Tamandua tetradactyla: one gene and its partner. The protein of the gene in region 2 binds, or shares a complex with, the protein of the main gene of each other region. Links are inferred from orthologs where the notes say so. Each region holds a gene or a part of one and is shown on either strand. Other genes may lie near its edges.

Region 1 (7,372 bases), on a different chromosome or scaffold from region 2:
CACTGGTGCTTATGGCTACAGTGTTTCTGAGCAATAATTAATGGAGGTGGTCTAAGGGTACAACGACTGAGGAATGGAAGGGGGAACTGTGGTATATACATACAACAGACTACTAAGTAGCTGCAAGAAGTAATGAAGATGTAAGGCATGCAACTAGGTGAATGAACCTTAAAGACTATGTTGAATGAAATTTTAGGAACAAAAAGACAAATATTATCATGCCTCAACCTTATGGACTAACCATAATATAAAAATTCAGTGAACTAAAGTTGAGAACATGGGTGATTAGGTTGGGGCCTATTGTAAAGGGTCTTAGATTGTAAGCTCTTACAGCAGTCACATATATTCAGGGGATCTAACTGTTAATTCTAAATTCTGAGATACTGAGCTGTTTGTATATAACATGGTCATTCCCAGAAACTTCAGGTATTTATGTGACATCTAAGACTCAGAACTCTGAAGCTATGAAAGTCATCAGTACCCCACACAGGAACTGTTTAAAAAGTTAAAAAAGTGATCAGACATCAAGTAGCGACATGAATGAAGCTGATCCAGATATAACTAAGGTATATCAGAATACAGTTAAAGGATGATATCTATATTTTAAGACTTCAACTTCTGTGTGAGACTAAAGGGAGAGATGTTTATTGGGTGCAAAATTTATATTTTAGGTAGTGCATTTCCTAATTTAATTAGTACGGTTAGTTTAGTTGAACATTATAAGTATATGGAATCTTCAATAGGGGGTGAGATTTTGTTGGTTTGTTCAAGTTAGTGTGATGATCTGATAAATCCCAGAGTAATCTGGGCAATGAATAAAGAAGTATTTGCAAAGTCCCCTGGGGGAATGGGAGAAAGGAGGAAATATTCAACTTCCCCCTTTTGGAGAATTTCTGATATTCTCACTAAGCAGTGTGGACAACCAAATCAATAAGCCAAGCCCTCGATCTTGGGGTTCATGAAACTTATTCTGCAAATGATAGGCTAAGGCTACATATAATTATGCCTAAGAGTCATCCCCAGACAACCTTTTTTGCTCAGATATGGCCTCTCTCTAAGCCAACTCAGCATGTGAACTCACTGCCCTACCCAATACGGGGGATATGACTCCCAGGGGTGTAAATCTCCCTGGCAACACAGGACAGAAATCCTGGGATGAGCTGGGACCCGGCATAAGGAATTGAGAAAGACTTCTTAACCAAAACGGGGAAGAGAGAAATGAGACAAAATAAAGTTTCAGTGGCTGAGGGATTTCAAACAGAGTCAAGAGGTTATCCTGGAGGTTATTATGTATTATATAGATATCCCTTTTTAGTTTATGGTGTGTTGGAGTGAGTGGAGAGAAGTACCTGAAACATTTGAGCTGAGTTCCAATAGCCTTGATTCTTGAAGATAATCGATTGTATAAAAGATATAACTTTTACAGTGTGACTGCGTGATTGTGAAGACCTTGTGTCTGATGTTCCTTTTATCCCAGCTATGGGCAGAGGAATAAAAAAATATGGATAAAAAGTTAATAAATAAATAGAGGGGACAAAGGGTAAAATAAATTGGGTAGATGGAAATACTAGTGGTCAATAAGAGGGAGGGGTAAGGTGTATGGTATGCACGAGGTTTCTCTTTCTTCCTTTTATTTCTTTTTCTGGAGTGATGCAAATGTTCTAAACAATGATCATGGTAGTGAATATACAATTATGTGATGATATTGTGAGCCATTGATTGTACACCATGTATGGAAGGTATGTTTGAAGATTTCTCAATGAAAATATTAAAAAGAAGACCATGCATTTTCTTACTATCTGAACTGTACAGATATGAGGGATATGACCAAAGAAGATAATTATTCATTTAGTAAAAGGTAAGCCATTGGATTTGTTTAGCTGGCAAGTAGATGGAGAAAGGGCAGAGGGAGGGGAAATGACACTCACTTGCAGTTGGTACAGGTGTAGAAGACAGTCTGCCCTTCATCGGCTGAGCGCATCTGTCTGGTCTGGTATGCCATTCCTTCATGACCACATCTAGCGCAGCGTCTGTCAACCTGGGAAACAATTGGTGGGACAGGGAAGGCCTAGTCAGTATCTCCTTAATTCGCATAGGAATCAGGCTGTCACATCCCACAGACATTTCCCCTCTACTTTCCTGGATTTGGGTACAAAACTCTCCATATCTCTCCAATTGCCCCCTCCCCCATTTCTTTCTTCATTTCCCTTACTGAGCCAGTCCTTGATCTCATTAACTTACCACGGGCCCCTGAAACGCTGGTCCTTCTTCTACGGACTTGCGCACGGCTGTTCCCAGTTTGTGAAACACAAATGAGGTCTTCACAACCTTCCCTTCGAAGTCTGCGCAGGCAGTAAGAATCGTTTGTGGAGACAAATGGTGGGAGTAGATACCCGCAACCCCGCTCCCGGTTAAGCCAGGAGGCTCTGCATTCCTTGTGTCACCTTCGGGTCTCCGCCCTGGACCAAAGGTATAAGTGCCTGGTCTCCTGCTCTAGAATCCCCCTCCTTAATCCCAGCGATCTTGAGGTCCCCAAACCTCCGACACTTCCATTCCGGACTCTCCGCCCGGACCACTGCCTAAGAGTCGCTCACCCCGCACGTTGATGGAGAAGCCACAGCGCGCACAGATGACCGTATCTTGAGTCCCGGGCAGGGGCAGAACAGAGCCGCAGTCTGGGCAGAAATCGAGGTCCGACTGGAAGCTGGAGCAGGTCTTGGCGAGGTCCATAACGGAAAGGTGGTCGCGGGTTGGGGAGCGGACGAGCAACGTATTAACAAAATAAAGGTTTTTTAAAACCAACCTCACCACTCTGGGGTCCTTCCTGTCCTGAACCAGGACCTAGGCATAAACATTCCAAAGCACGCCTCCCATTTCTGCGACGAGTGGGCCTAAGCGTCCAGCACTGCCAGCCCTCTTCTGGAGCCCAGCGGCTTGGTACCCTTCCTGGGAGACGAGCTGACCAACCCCGCGGGCTAGAGCGTCGGCCTCCCAGAGAGCCGCCGAGCAGTCGGTGCATGGCGGCCTAGAGCGTCAAAGCGTCCCGGCTCACGATTGGCTGAGATGTCATAAGTAATCGCTAACCTAAGTCCAAAAGCCTTTCTGAGAGAACGCAAGCCGCGCGAGCGGAACTTGTGGTTTCTTCGGCTTTGTATTGTGACGTCGGAAAAGAAAAATGCTAACGTGTACTGCGCTTCTGGCTGCTTTTATCCCCGGGACAGAACTCTGATATACTTATTTTCTTGGTCTCGCATCATTTGCCGGAGGTCATTCCCTCCAAAACGTACTAATCTTCCTGAATACTTGTTTTACTGACAAGGGAACTACAATTCCCGCCATTCCTGAGCCGGCATCTCCTTTCGGCGGCTGCTCAGTGGTTACAAACAAAGAAAGCTAAGCATTCCGAGAGTTACGGTTCTGGTATTGCTTGGATCCTGCTGGCGGAGCGTGGGCTGCTCTGCAGTGCTCAGCCTGGCACGCGTGCTCTTCTTGGGAGGCAGTTTAGGGGCGCTTGGAAGATGTGAGTTGGCATCTTAAGGGGCAGAAAGTGGTAAGGATGAAGACGGAGGAGGAATACTTAGTCCCTTGAGACGAAAGGAATTGAGTAGGACGTTGGAGGGATTTAGGATTTTGGAGGTAGCGGAAGTGTTTGGAATAGGGGTGTTTCGGGGCTCCCCTATTCTTAGGCACCTGCCAGGCGAGGGAGACTAGCATTAATCAAGGGAGTAGGTAGTGGAAGGCTTTCACGAAGACTTGGGTGAAGTTTGGCTTATTGTTGCAGAAATCCACTCCCGCCCCATTCTCTTTCGCCTCCTGCCCAACTCTAAATCATTGTCATCCATTAGGTGGGCAGTCGACATTTCCCTAATCTTTTCTAAAATTTAAGGGTAGTATCTTTAGAAAATCTTGGTATTTTTGTTCATTTGTAACATATAATCTGTGTACAAATTTGAACTAAAAGGGAAACTCCTAGATGAGTTCCCTGGCTTCTTTCCAGTCCTCCCAGCTCCACCCAACCGGATTGTTCTGATAATCTCCATATGTATATATATATATTTTTTTTCCTGGAGCTATCACTGTTTTTTTCTCTGAAAGAAACAAAATGCCGTCTCTGGGAGATTCTTTTTTTTCCAATAGTGGGGACATACCTGATATTGAATGGAGTTAAAACTTAACGAGCTGCAGGAGAGTGGTAAGCCCTGTAATTTCACTTACTTGAGTGTCATTTCTTTGTATTACAAAGACAGGTCTGTTGCTAAGCCCAGGATGGTAGGCAGTTTCTATGCTTACATCTCACTGTGCTGTCTCCTTTGAAAATGGAAATTGAAATTAGCCCTCCTCGCACCCCAACTTTTCCTTTTCGCTTTGACATACAGTGAAACATCCAACATGTATTGAATATCCTAATGCAGTAAAGGAACTGCAAGCATTATAAGGCATGCCCCTTCCCCAATAAGTTCACATTCTAATCAGTAAATGTTTATTGAGCATTTATGCCAGGCTTTGAGCTGAGTCTGGGGCTACAAAGTTGAAAATTGTTCTCCAACCTCAAGGAATGCAAATGAGTAATGAACACTAGTATGTACAAAATGTAAGTGTCCAGGATGAGCATATCAAATAAATATGCCCATGTGCTTCAAGAAAGACTGGTAAATGCTTTAACGAAAAGATATATACAAAGCCATGGGGATGAAAAAGATGCTGAGACATCATGTGATAAGTATAATAAATAATAAATCTTCACTTTTAAATACTAAGGGGACTTGGAATCACAGACTCATCTTAAATACTGTGTTAGATGTTAATGTGTTATGCATAGGCAAATATGAATGCATCTAAGAGGTCAGTGATTCAGAATAGTTTTCAGATTCTCTCTGATAATATAGAGAGATCATATCTTTGTAAATCTGAATTTTGTTTCTGCTCTTTGAATACACCCAAATTATAGTTGTAAAAATAATGCAGCAAAATGTGAAAAGTGATGTGTGTGTGTGTGTGTCACAATGTAAAGCGTGATTAATTTTCATATGATTTGTAGAAAAAAAGTCTTCAGGGGAAGGCAGAAGCTACTATGAGACAGAGTAGAGCAAAAAGAATTTTTGGAGAGTCATGGACTTAATCTGTGGAGGACAGATAATTGCCATTTACTGAGAACTTACCATATATCAAGCACTATGCCAAGCTCTTTACATCTAACTTGTATTTGTTCTTTATAATCTTTATAACCCCAAGAGGCAGAATTGTGTCTTGTCTCTGTTTTACAGATGAGGAAACTGGCATAGAGGATAAGTTACTTGCCCTTGGTATACACACCTGGGAAGTGGTGGATTTAAGATTCAAGTCTAACCCTATCAGGCTCCAAAACCCATGCTCTTAATCATAAAGGGTGTAAACAAAAGCACAGAGATGAATTGCTAGGCATCCTCAGTAGCTTAAATACGACCTCACAGTAACTCAGACCAGACCAGGGATGACACATAGAAAGTTAATAGTCTTCATGTGTGTTGCTCTCAGCCTGTCCTATAAGTAAACACAGAGTACCTGCCAGTTCCTACCCTGAAGGGTTCAATTGTAAATGGTCCCATAATGGATTAGTGTGAAGAATGATTGGCAGTGTATGTAAGGCAGCCAAGCAGAAGTGTGGACAATAAAATAACAATTTCAGAGCAAAAGTTGAGCGCACAGAGATGCTGTATGTGCTGATAGAGGCAGAGAGGGCCCGGATCAAGAAACTACAGAAAGAGAATGAACTAATAAAACTAGAGTCTAGAATTATCTCAGAAGATGAAGGAGGCTGGGGGACTGACCAGTCTGACATAGATGTGCATCAGCAATACCTCACCAAGAAGTCTGTCACTTCCCTCGCCCATTCCCCAGTACAAGACTCAGAATGGTTCAAGTTGAGTCCACAAGAGAAGTATGCTTTTAGCTCATATAAAGGGAAAATCCTCTTCTTAAAAGACCATTTATTACTCTCTACCATAGAAATACGATGGTTTCCTTGAGGAAAATGGCCCTGCTATAACCTATTCATGGGTTTTCTCTTTGCGGGGGGGAAATACCATTGGACTTCACCAAAACCATTGGGTTCCTTGATTCAGTTAGATTAGACACTATGTGAGCAGATGTGTTCTAACACCTCCCACATTCTAATCTATTTTTGCTTTTTTATTTTACAGATTGGCCTGGGCTAAAGCATCAAAAGACTCTAGGATTGCTGCAGGCCAACACTCCCCACTGGAGAAAAAGATCTTGGTAAGTAAATTATCTTTGCATCATACAATTTGGAGCTACTAGGAGAAGGAATGTTAGGTTTAAAATCCTTTCCCCCAAATGATACCTTCAGATAGTAAGTCTACACTGAAAAATGTTTCTCAGCTTTGTCCACAGCTGCAAAAAAAGGTATCATTTTGAAAACCCCTAACACTGTACATATTTTTAAACTAGTTATTGATTTATGGTGATGGATAGGTACTTCGTACTTTCAGAGCTTACAGGCTTACCTAGGTGCCATGGGAGTAAAATCACAATTATTACATTGAAGTAAATTAAAAACTATGTATCTTTGCTTGTTTCAGTACTGAGAGTAGGCTCGTCTTTACATATATTCTAAATAAAAAGATGGTGGTCATATTTTAAAATTCTATACCTCATTTTGACAGAATCTAGGTGGCGTGCATACAACAGCAACAAGAAGACTAATAACCCAAAAATATCAAGAAGAGTATAAAACACTCTGTGAGGAGCAGTCTCTTTCTCTTGATTACTGGCTTGCCAAAGCAGAGTCTTATTATAATAAAAGAACAGTGGAAATGATGAAAAAACAAAAGTCAGTCAGTGAAATTGAGAAGAAGATAGAGGAGAAAATAACCCAAGACATAGAGAGACAAAAATGGTACTATTTAGTACCTGAGAGAGAGCTGAAACACATAGAGAGGTACATACATCGAGCCGGACAGGCCAGAGAACTCAGGAATAAAACATTTAAACAACTACGAGTCATTAGTGAAACAACACTACCAAAAATCATGTCAGAAAAACATGGCAACCAGAAAGCACAGAGAAGAAAGCAGGTAGTAGAGAGGGAACAGGTGCAAATTAAAGATCACCAGGAACGCATGATTCGAGGGCGAGAACTTATAGAGCAAAGACTCAAGGAAAGGCTCTTGGGGGATAAACAGAGCCTGCCATCTGCACATGAGAAGCGTGAGAAAGTAAAGAAAGAGGTAAAGGAATTTGAGAGTGTTATTGCATATCCTCTTTTCCAGCCGTACCATGGAAGCCATATTAAAGTGAATATTCTTATGGAAAAGTCTCAGAATGGAGAAGAGAATACAGTTATAAAGCCACCACAAAGAAAATTCTTGACTAT
Region 2 (7,516 bases):
TATTCTTACACATAACATTGATATCCCCTTTTTAGTTTATGGTGTATTGGAGTGGCTAGGGGGAAATGCCTGAAATTATCACGCTGTGTTCCAGTAGCCATGTTTCTTAAAGCTTTCGCAATGTGACTGCATGACTGTGAAAACCTTGTGTTTGATGCTCCTTTTATCTACAGTATGGACAAATGAGTAAAAAATATGGATAAGAAATAAACAAATAATAGGGGGAGCAAAGATTTTAAAAATTGAGTAGCTTGAAATACTAGTCATCAATGAGAGGGAAGGGTTAGGGGTATGGCATGTATGAATTTTTTCTTTTTTCTTTCTTTTGCTGGAGATATGCAAATGTTTAAAACTAAGGATCATGGTGATGAATACACAACTATGTGATGATATTGTGAGCCACTAATTCTAACAGTGTCAAGAATGTTTGTTATTTACAATAAAAATGTTTTAAAAAAAGAACTATAAAAATAGTAATAATAATATTTCTTAAGGAAAAGAAGTTTTGGCATGGAATGAGCTATAAATAAGAACCAGTCATTCAAAAATCAGCCCCTAAAAGAATCCAGAAAGTTGTCAGTCAGTCAACAAATTCTAGGTGCTTGGCATAAATCTTTATTCCAGACTGACCCCTCCCTTAAAGGAGCTTTCATTCTAGGGGGGAGGAGGGCAGATCCTTCAGAATGCCAAAAACTTTCTACTAGTATAAAAAAATAATTCTTAGGCAATTTCGTTTTCAAACTATAGTTACTTACAACGTCAATACTGTACGTTACTTACAGTGCCAATATTATTTATTACTATTTTCTCATTGCAGATATACAATATCTTGGGTTTAAAAGGCTATCCATAATACATAATAACACATTTCTAAGCACATAAATTCTGGTCTTAAACCTATTTACCTGCAGACTTAATCAAACTCTCTATAGATCCCTGGTGACAGAAACATACCCAGGTATATCTTAACTAGCAGAAACTGAGTAGCATTACCTAACCCCACACTTCAGGTTCCTAGTTCTAAGGGGTGAGGTATCATTCCTGAAGTACAATACAGTCAAACTTCGCTTAAGTCATATGCATTAACCTAGTTAAAATAAAATGAGGAGAGGAATGGAATTGGTAATTTTTCAACACTCGCTGTGCATGAGGCTCTATGCTAAGCAATTCAAATATATTATCTCACTTTTTATATAGCTCAGTGGTTAAAAGCACAGGCTTTGAGATCAAACAGACCTGGGTTTGACTCCTGACACCACTGCTTATAGTTTAACTTCTCTAAGATTCAGTTTCTTCATCTCTAAAATGCCTGACATATATACTGCTATGAGGATTAATTTACTGAGATAATTAATGAAATGATACTCAGGTTAGAAGGAAAAAAAACAGGAGCTAAGGGATTTCAATTATGGGCTACGAAACACGGATTGAGGGCAATAATAAAAATAATGCTTCAAATGTATTCCCAGGACTACATCACCCAACATGCCAACATGTAGATAACTGGTTCTTATTCAATCCAGTAGGGAATTTATCTCATCGAAAAACTTGCTCATATTTATATTAAATGAAAATGGGGGAAAACACTTTTTTAAAACTAATTCTATTTGAAATCATTCCAGTGCAATTCAACAAGAACTTCCTGAACACTTCTTAGGTATGCATTCCTCAGTGGGCAGAGTCCCAACGTTACTAATCTGCATATCACCAGTATTTAGCCAATGCCAAATAAGTGTGTGAAATAAGTCTTGCTGGGGAAAAAGAAATACAGACTACTTGTTATTAATTCAAAGGAAAAGAATTTTAAAAGAAAAAAAAAAAGACCTATTTGTGATTTGTTTTCTTCCTTACAGCCTAAAAAGTATATCACCTATTTCCTACCTTGAAAACTGAAGCTCTCCCCAACCTAGTTATTCATTTCGCATCCATACTGAATCTAACCACTGCCTTGCATTATAGTTAAACGGTCATATGTTCTTTTACTTACCCACAGTTTCTATTTGCTTTCGGAGCCAAGGGAAATAAATTCCTGTACCAGAGAGCACAGACATGTCCACCCCATCCTCCTCGGGCACGGGCCTTGCTGATTCCTCAATGAAATCACTCATACCTACTCGAAACTGAGAATATCAGTTACTTTCTGTACATCTTAATCCGTAGGCTTCTGAGTTACAGAGAAAAGTCGTCTTCTGATCTAAGAAATACTTGATCAGCAAAATTTTTCTGTACTTGGGAATTCCTTTAAAGTAAAAATAAGATATAATTATGTCAGCAACATAAAAAAAAATACAACATCAACTATAAGCAATCACATACAGAGATAACCAAGATATTGTCCTTTTACTCAAAAACAAACTCAAGTCCACAAGAAAGAGAAAAATGAGAAATAATAGTAGGACAAAACAAGAGTAGCAGTAGCAGTTGAGATGTACTGGGATCTTACTATATGTCAGCCACACAAACTACCTAATTTAATCTTCACAGTAATCCTGAGGTAAATACCGCATTTTGACGGTGAAAAGACTTGAGGGGCTTAGTGTGATTATTATTATTATTTTTTATTTTTATTTTTTTGGCATGGGTAGGCACCGGGAATGGAACCCGGGTCTCCGGCATGGCAGGCGAGAACTAGCCTGGTTTAGTGTTATCTTGTCATCTACCTGAGGTCACAAGAAAGGTGACCAAGGCTGACCCACCCGGGGCCGTCCAGGAGTCCCGACCGAGGCCGTGCTCACAAACACGCCGAACCCCGCGGTGAAGCGCGCGGCTACCACGGCAACAAGGCTTCCGCTCTCTCTCTTCGACTCACTCACGGTCTCACCGCACCAGGAGAAAATACCGGGCCACACCTGCGTCCTCGCACAGCCATTCCCGCTCAACCGGGAAAGCAGGCGGTGCCGCAGACAACGTCCACGACACGTACTCGCCTGAAGCGTGAAGCCCCTGGGCCCGGCTGAGCTGGGCGTTCCAACTTCGCGGGACACCACGAACAAAACCTCGCGGGAAGTGACGTCCGCGACGCTTCGCGTGAGCACGCGGAGAATCGCTCGGGAGCACGGGCCGTGCGCAGGAGCAGCCCCGCCCCCAGCGCCGCCGTGGTGACGTCACGGCCGCCCCTCGTGGCCGGTGTGGAGACTTGCCGCTTTCTCGTGGGTATGGTCTCAGGTTCACGTTTTAATCTGTCCCAGCCGGAAAAGGAGAGATTCTAATTACAAGTGGATATTGGGGCGACGGAGAATGGCTGGAAATGAAGAACAGTCGAAAAAGCAGGCTGTCACATTACCCGAGTGACTTACCGTGCGGGACCTTCCGGTTTCTGCTTGCTCACTGACGGGCTGCGCGAACGGAGGCGTGGCGAGCGACCCCGATAGGACCTCTTGCTAGCCGTCTAATTGGCTTTTTCCTTTTATTAAAGTTTTAGCTCTGACCTTCGGGTGAGTTTAAGCGACCCTGACTGCCTCCCCAAAACTCGGACTAGAATCTCTATTTGGTCCTCAGCGGGGACGATTCCGAGTACTTGTGTTGGGCCATTTTCCGTAAGTGACATTGAAAAACCTGTATGAAATAGGGGTCAAAAATAAAATGGTTAAACGATGTGAAATGAGAGACAGTTAAGGGTTTCGAGGAGGGTGACCTTGGAAAAGCAGAGATACACGTGAACATAATGTGTCTTTCGGATATTTGGAGAGCTGATCCGTCCAGGGAGGTTTAGATTACTTTTGTATAGCATGAGAGGATAGAATTGATTGAATAAATGCTAGAAGGAGGCATTTTTAAAGTCGTTCCAAGAAAGATTTTTGTTAATAGCTAAAGTTGCACCGATAAGGGTGTCGGTGACTCCAGGAATCTTTTGAGCTCCTCCCCAGAATGAACCATTTGAGCACAATCAGTGTACTGCGGAGGCAACTAAAGGTCTAGTAAGAGCATGTAAGTGATTCCTTATAATGTTAGGAATACTTATTTCTATGTTGCATTCATAAATACTGGCAAGAAAAGTTCCTCCTGCTATGCCATATAAGTGCTTGGCCTTTCTCAAGTATGTGCTCGAGTGCCACAGGCAACACTGATCTATATGATGGTGTGGTAGAGGAGGGCACGACACACACACACAAAACTATAGTTATTAGCCCCCCAGCCTAGACCTTAATCTGGATATATTTAGTCCATTGCCATGAGATATAATTTCACCAAAACCAACCCAGAGTTGCTTTTATGTGGCTAGAAATTGATGTTCTCATCTAAGTGGGGAAGAAATTTCTAGTTTCTCTACACAGCAGTAGATAAAAGAGAGAAAGTTAAGAACTAGTAAGTTTATATGCCCTACCTACCCTTCCTTTCCCATGGTACAACTCTGGTAGAACATGCATTGGGACAAAGAGATTAAAAATATTGACCATGCTAAATCACAGTCTGACTCACTGGTCAGATTTTCCCTCCATCACCACCTCCCTGTGCGTTGACAGGTTCCTGAACATGGACTGCACAGGGTGCCAGACCACCCTGGTGCACTACCCCTCCATCCACTTTCCCCTGATGACCTACTTGCCCATTGTCTCAGCTGAAACATGAGCAGTTCACAGTGGCAGAGGTGACTAGTATCTGCTTTAACCCTCCAGATAGCCAAGTGTGACCCTCCCCCAGAAAGTGCATAGTCTGCTGCATACTCTACAGTGGAAAAGTGGAGCTCAAGGATGTGACTGCCACCATCGCTATGATCAAGAGTACCATCCTGTGTATGGACTAGTATCCAGTGGCTTTCAAGATTGAAATCAACTGCCACAACCCCGCAGTGGCACAGTGAACAGTCTGCATGCTAAGCAACACCACAGCCATCTCCGAGGTCTGGGGCCTCCTTGACCACAAGATTGACCTGGTATATGACAAACAGGTATTGCTGCGCTGATATGTGGGCTAGGGCATGGAGGAAGGAAAGTTCTCTGAGGCCTGAGAGGAGCTGGCCACCTTGGAGTATAATTATGAAGTGGGCCTGTGGACAGGCCTCTTGTTCAATCTAATTTACTGCTGTTTTTTCCCCCTCAGGAGTGTCATTTCCTTTTTGATATCTAGCCTTGGATACAGCCAACTAAGTCCATCCTATCAGTTTTTTTTCTCTTTAGAGGTGTGGGTTTACAGAGTAATCATGCATAAAATACAGGTCTCCACATTTCACCCTATTATTAATACCTTCCATTGTGTGGTACATTTGTGACAATTGATGAAAGCACATTTTTTATCAGTGTAAAATTAACTATATTCCATGGACTCACAGCTAGTGTTATGCGGTTCCATGTTTTGTTTTGTTTTTTAATGTTATTCTGGTACCATATGTACAACCTAACATTTCCTCCTTTGAACCAATTTCAGATATATATTTCACTGCTGTTAATTATGTTCACAATGTTATGCTGCCATCACCGCCATCTATTATCGAAACATTTCAGCATTCCAAATAGAAATTCTACATTTTAAGCCTTAAGTCCTGTGATGGTTGGGTTCTGGTATCAACTTGGCCAAGTGATTGTGCCCAGTTGTCTGGTCAGACAAGCACTGGCCAAGGATATTTCGTGGCTGGTTGATAAACTAGAAGGTTGGTCAGTCAGTTGATTGCATCTGTGGCTGATTACATGTGTGATCAACTAAGGCAGTCTCCTGCACTGAGATAATCCAATCAGTTGGAGGTCTTTAGTGAATAAGAGAGACTCTTTCACTTCTCCTGAGGAGGCTGTCCAGAACATTCATTGGAGCCACCAGCCTCACAGTTTGCCGTATGGATTTTGGACTCTTCCATTCCCACGGTTGCATGAGAAATGTTTATCTCATATTTACAGATCTCTTCTGTTGGTTCTGTTTCTCTAGAGAACCTAACACAGCTCCCTATTCCACCCCGTTCCCCATCCCTTTGTAACCTAGATTCTGACCATATGAGTTTGGTTATTCTAATTATTTCATATTAGTGAAATCATAAAATATTTGTACTTTGTTTCCACCTTCTTTTGTCTGTTGATGCATGTTTCAGAATTTCATTCCTATTTATGGCTGAATAATATTCCATTTTGTGTATATACCACATTTTGTTTATCCATTCACTGGTTTATGGACACTTGGATTGCTTCCATCTTTTGGCGATTGTGAACAATGATGCTATGAATATCGGTGTGCAAATATCTGTTCAAGTCCTTACTTTCAATTCTTTTGGATATATACCTAGATATATGCTGGGACATATATGCTGGGCAATTCTATACTTAACTATCTGAGAAAGTGGCAAATTGTTTTCCACCGAGTGGCTGCACCATTTTTACATTTCCACCAGAAATGAATAAAGTGTTCCTATTTCTCCAGATCTTCTCCAACACTTTGTAATTTTGTATTTTTCTAATAATAGCCATTCTTGTGGGTATTAAATGGTAACACATTATGGTTGTGATGCTAATGATGTTGAGCATCTTTTCATGTGTTGTTTGGGCATTTATCTATCTTCTTTGGAAAAATGTGTGTTCAAATCTTTTGCCCATTTTTAAATTGAGTTATCTTTTTGTTGTTGAGTTGGAGGACTTCTTTATGTATTGGATTTGTGGCTTCCAAATATTTTCTTTCATTGTATGGGTTGTCATTTTCCTTTCATAGTAAGGACCATTGATGCACAGAAGTTTTTAATTTTGAGGAGGTCCTATTTATCTATTTTTTCTTTTGTTGCTTGAACTTTGGGTGTGAAGTCTAAAACTCTTGCCCAACACAAGATCCTGAAGACGCTTCCCTATGTTTTCATCTACGAGTCAATAGCTCTGTTTCTTATATTTAGGTCTTTGATCCATTTTGAGTTTACTTTTTTATATGATGTGAGGTAGGTGTCCACCTTCATTCTTTTGCAAATGGAAATCCAGTTTTCCCAACACCATTTGTTAAAGAGCCTGTTCTTTCCAAATTGAATGGTCCTTCCCCGTTTGTCAAAAATCAGTTGGGGGCGGGCCAGGTGGCTTAGCAGGCAGAGTTCTCAGAGACCTGAGTTTGATTCCCAGTGCCTGCCCATGCAAAAAAAGAAAGAAGAGAAAAGAAAAAGAGAAAAAAAATCAGAAGGATATAAGTGTAAGGGTTGATTTCTGAACTCTCAATTTGACTCTATTGTTCTATTTTTCTGTCCTTTTGTCAGTACTATGCTGTTTTTTATTACTGTGATTTGTAATAAGCATTGAATCTGTAAGTAACCGTGGGTAGAATTGACATCTTAACCTTATTTAGTAATATTTTTTAAGTTTTTGAGAATTTATTTTGTTGCCCCCAGTGTCATTATAGCCTGGTAAATATTCCATCGGCACTAGAAAAGAATGAGTACCCTGAAGTTGCTGAGCATTGTGTTCTATTAGTGTCAGTGAGGTTAAAGTGGTTGCTAGTTTTCTTCATATATTTAATATGGCTACTTACATTTTGAATGGTGTTTCTATTACTGGGATAGGGCTGTTAAAAATTCAAACTGTGGATTTGTCTCTTTCTTCCTTTAGTTTTGTCAGCTTTTCCT

The links. Proteins that work in one complex are often made in the same cells at the same time.
Region 1: TAF1A (region 2) and POLR1H share a complex: the UniProt entries of both Homo sapiens proteins name them as parts of the pol I pre-initiation complex. The link is inferred for Tamandua tetradactyla from reciprocal best matches to the Homo sapiens genes TAF1A and POLR1H.

The regions. Positions count from the first base shown.
Region 1 is NC_135331.1:84,544,682-84,552,053, reverse strand, and holds the start of POLR1H (DNA-directed RNA polymerase I subunit RPA12), read right to left. Parts: upstream 3,062-7,372; 5' UTR 2,731-3,061; coding exon 2,595-2,730; intron 2,343-2,594; coding exon 2,242-2,342; intron 2,039-2,241; coding exon 1,929-2,038; intron 1,530-1,928; exon of another isoform or gene 1-1,529. UniProt on the Homo sapiens protein: Core component of RNA polymerase I (Pol I), a DNA-dependent RNA polymerase which synthesizes ribosomal RNA precursors using the four ribonucleoside triphosphates as substrates. Can mediate Pol I proofreading of the nascent RNA transcript.
Region 2 is NC_135330.1:83,117,550-83,125,065, forward strand, and holds the start of TAF1A (TATA box-binding protein-associated factor RNA polymerase I subunit A), read right to left. Parts: upstream 3,053-7,516; 5' UTR 2,928-3,052; exon of another isoform or gene 2,661-2,927; intron 2,240-2,660; 5' UTR 2,109-2,239; coding exon 1,988-2,108; intron 1-1,987. UniProt on the Homo sapiens protein: Component of the transcription factor SL1/TIF-IB complex, which is involved in the assembly of the PIC (pre-initiation complex) during RNA polymerase I-dependent transcription.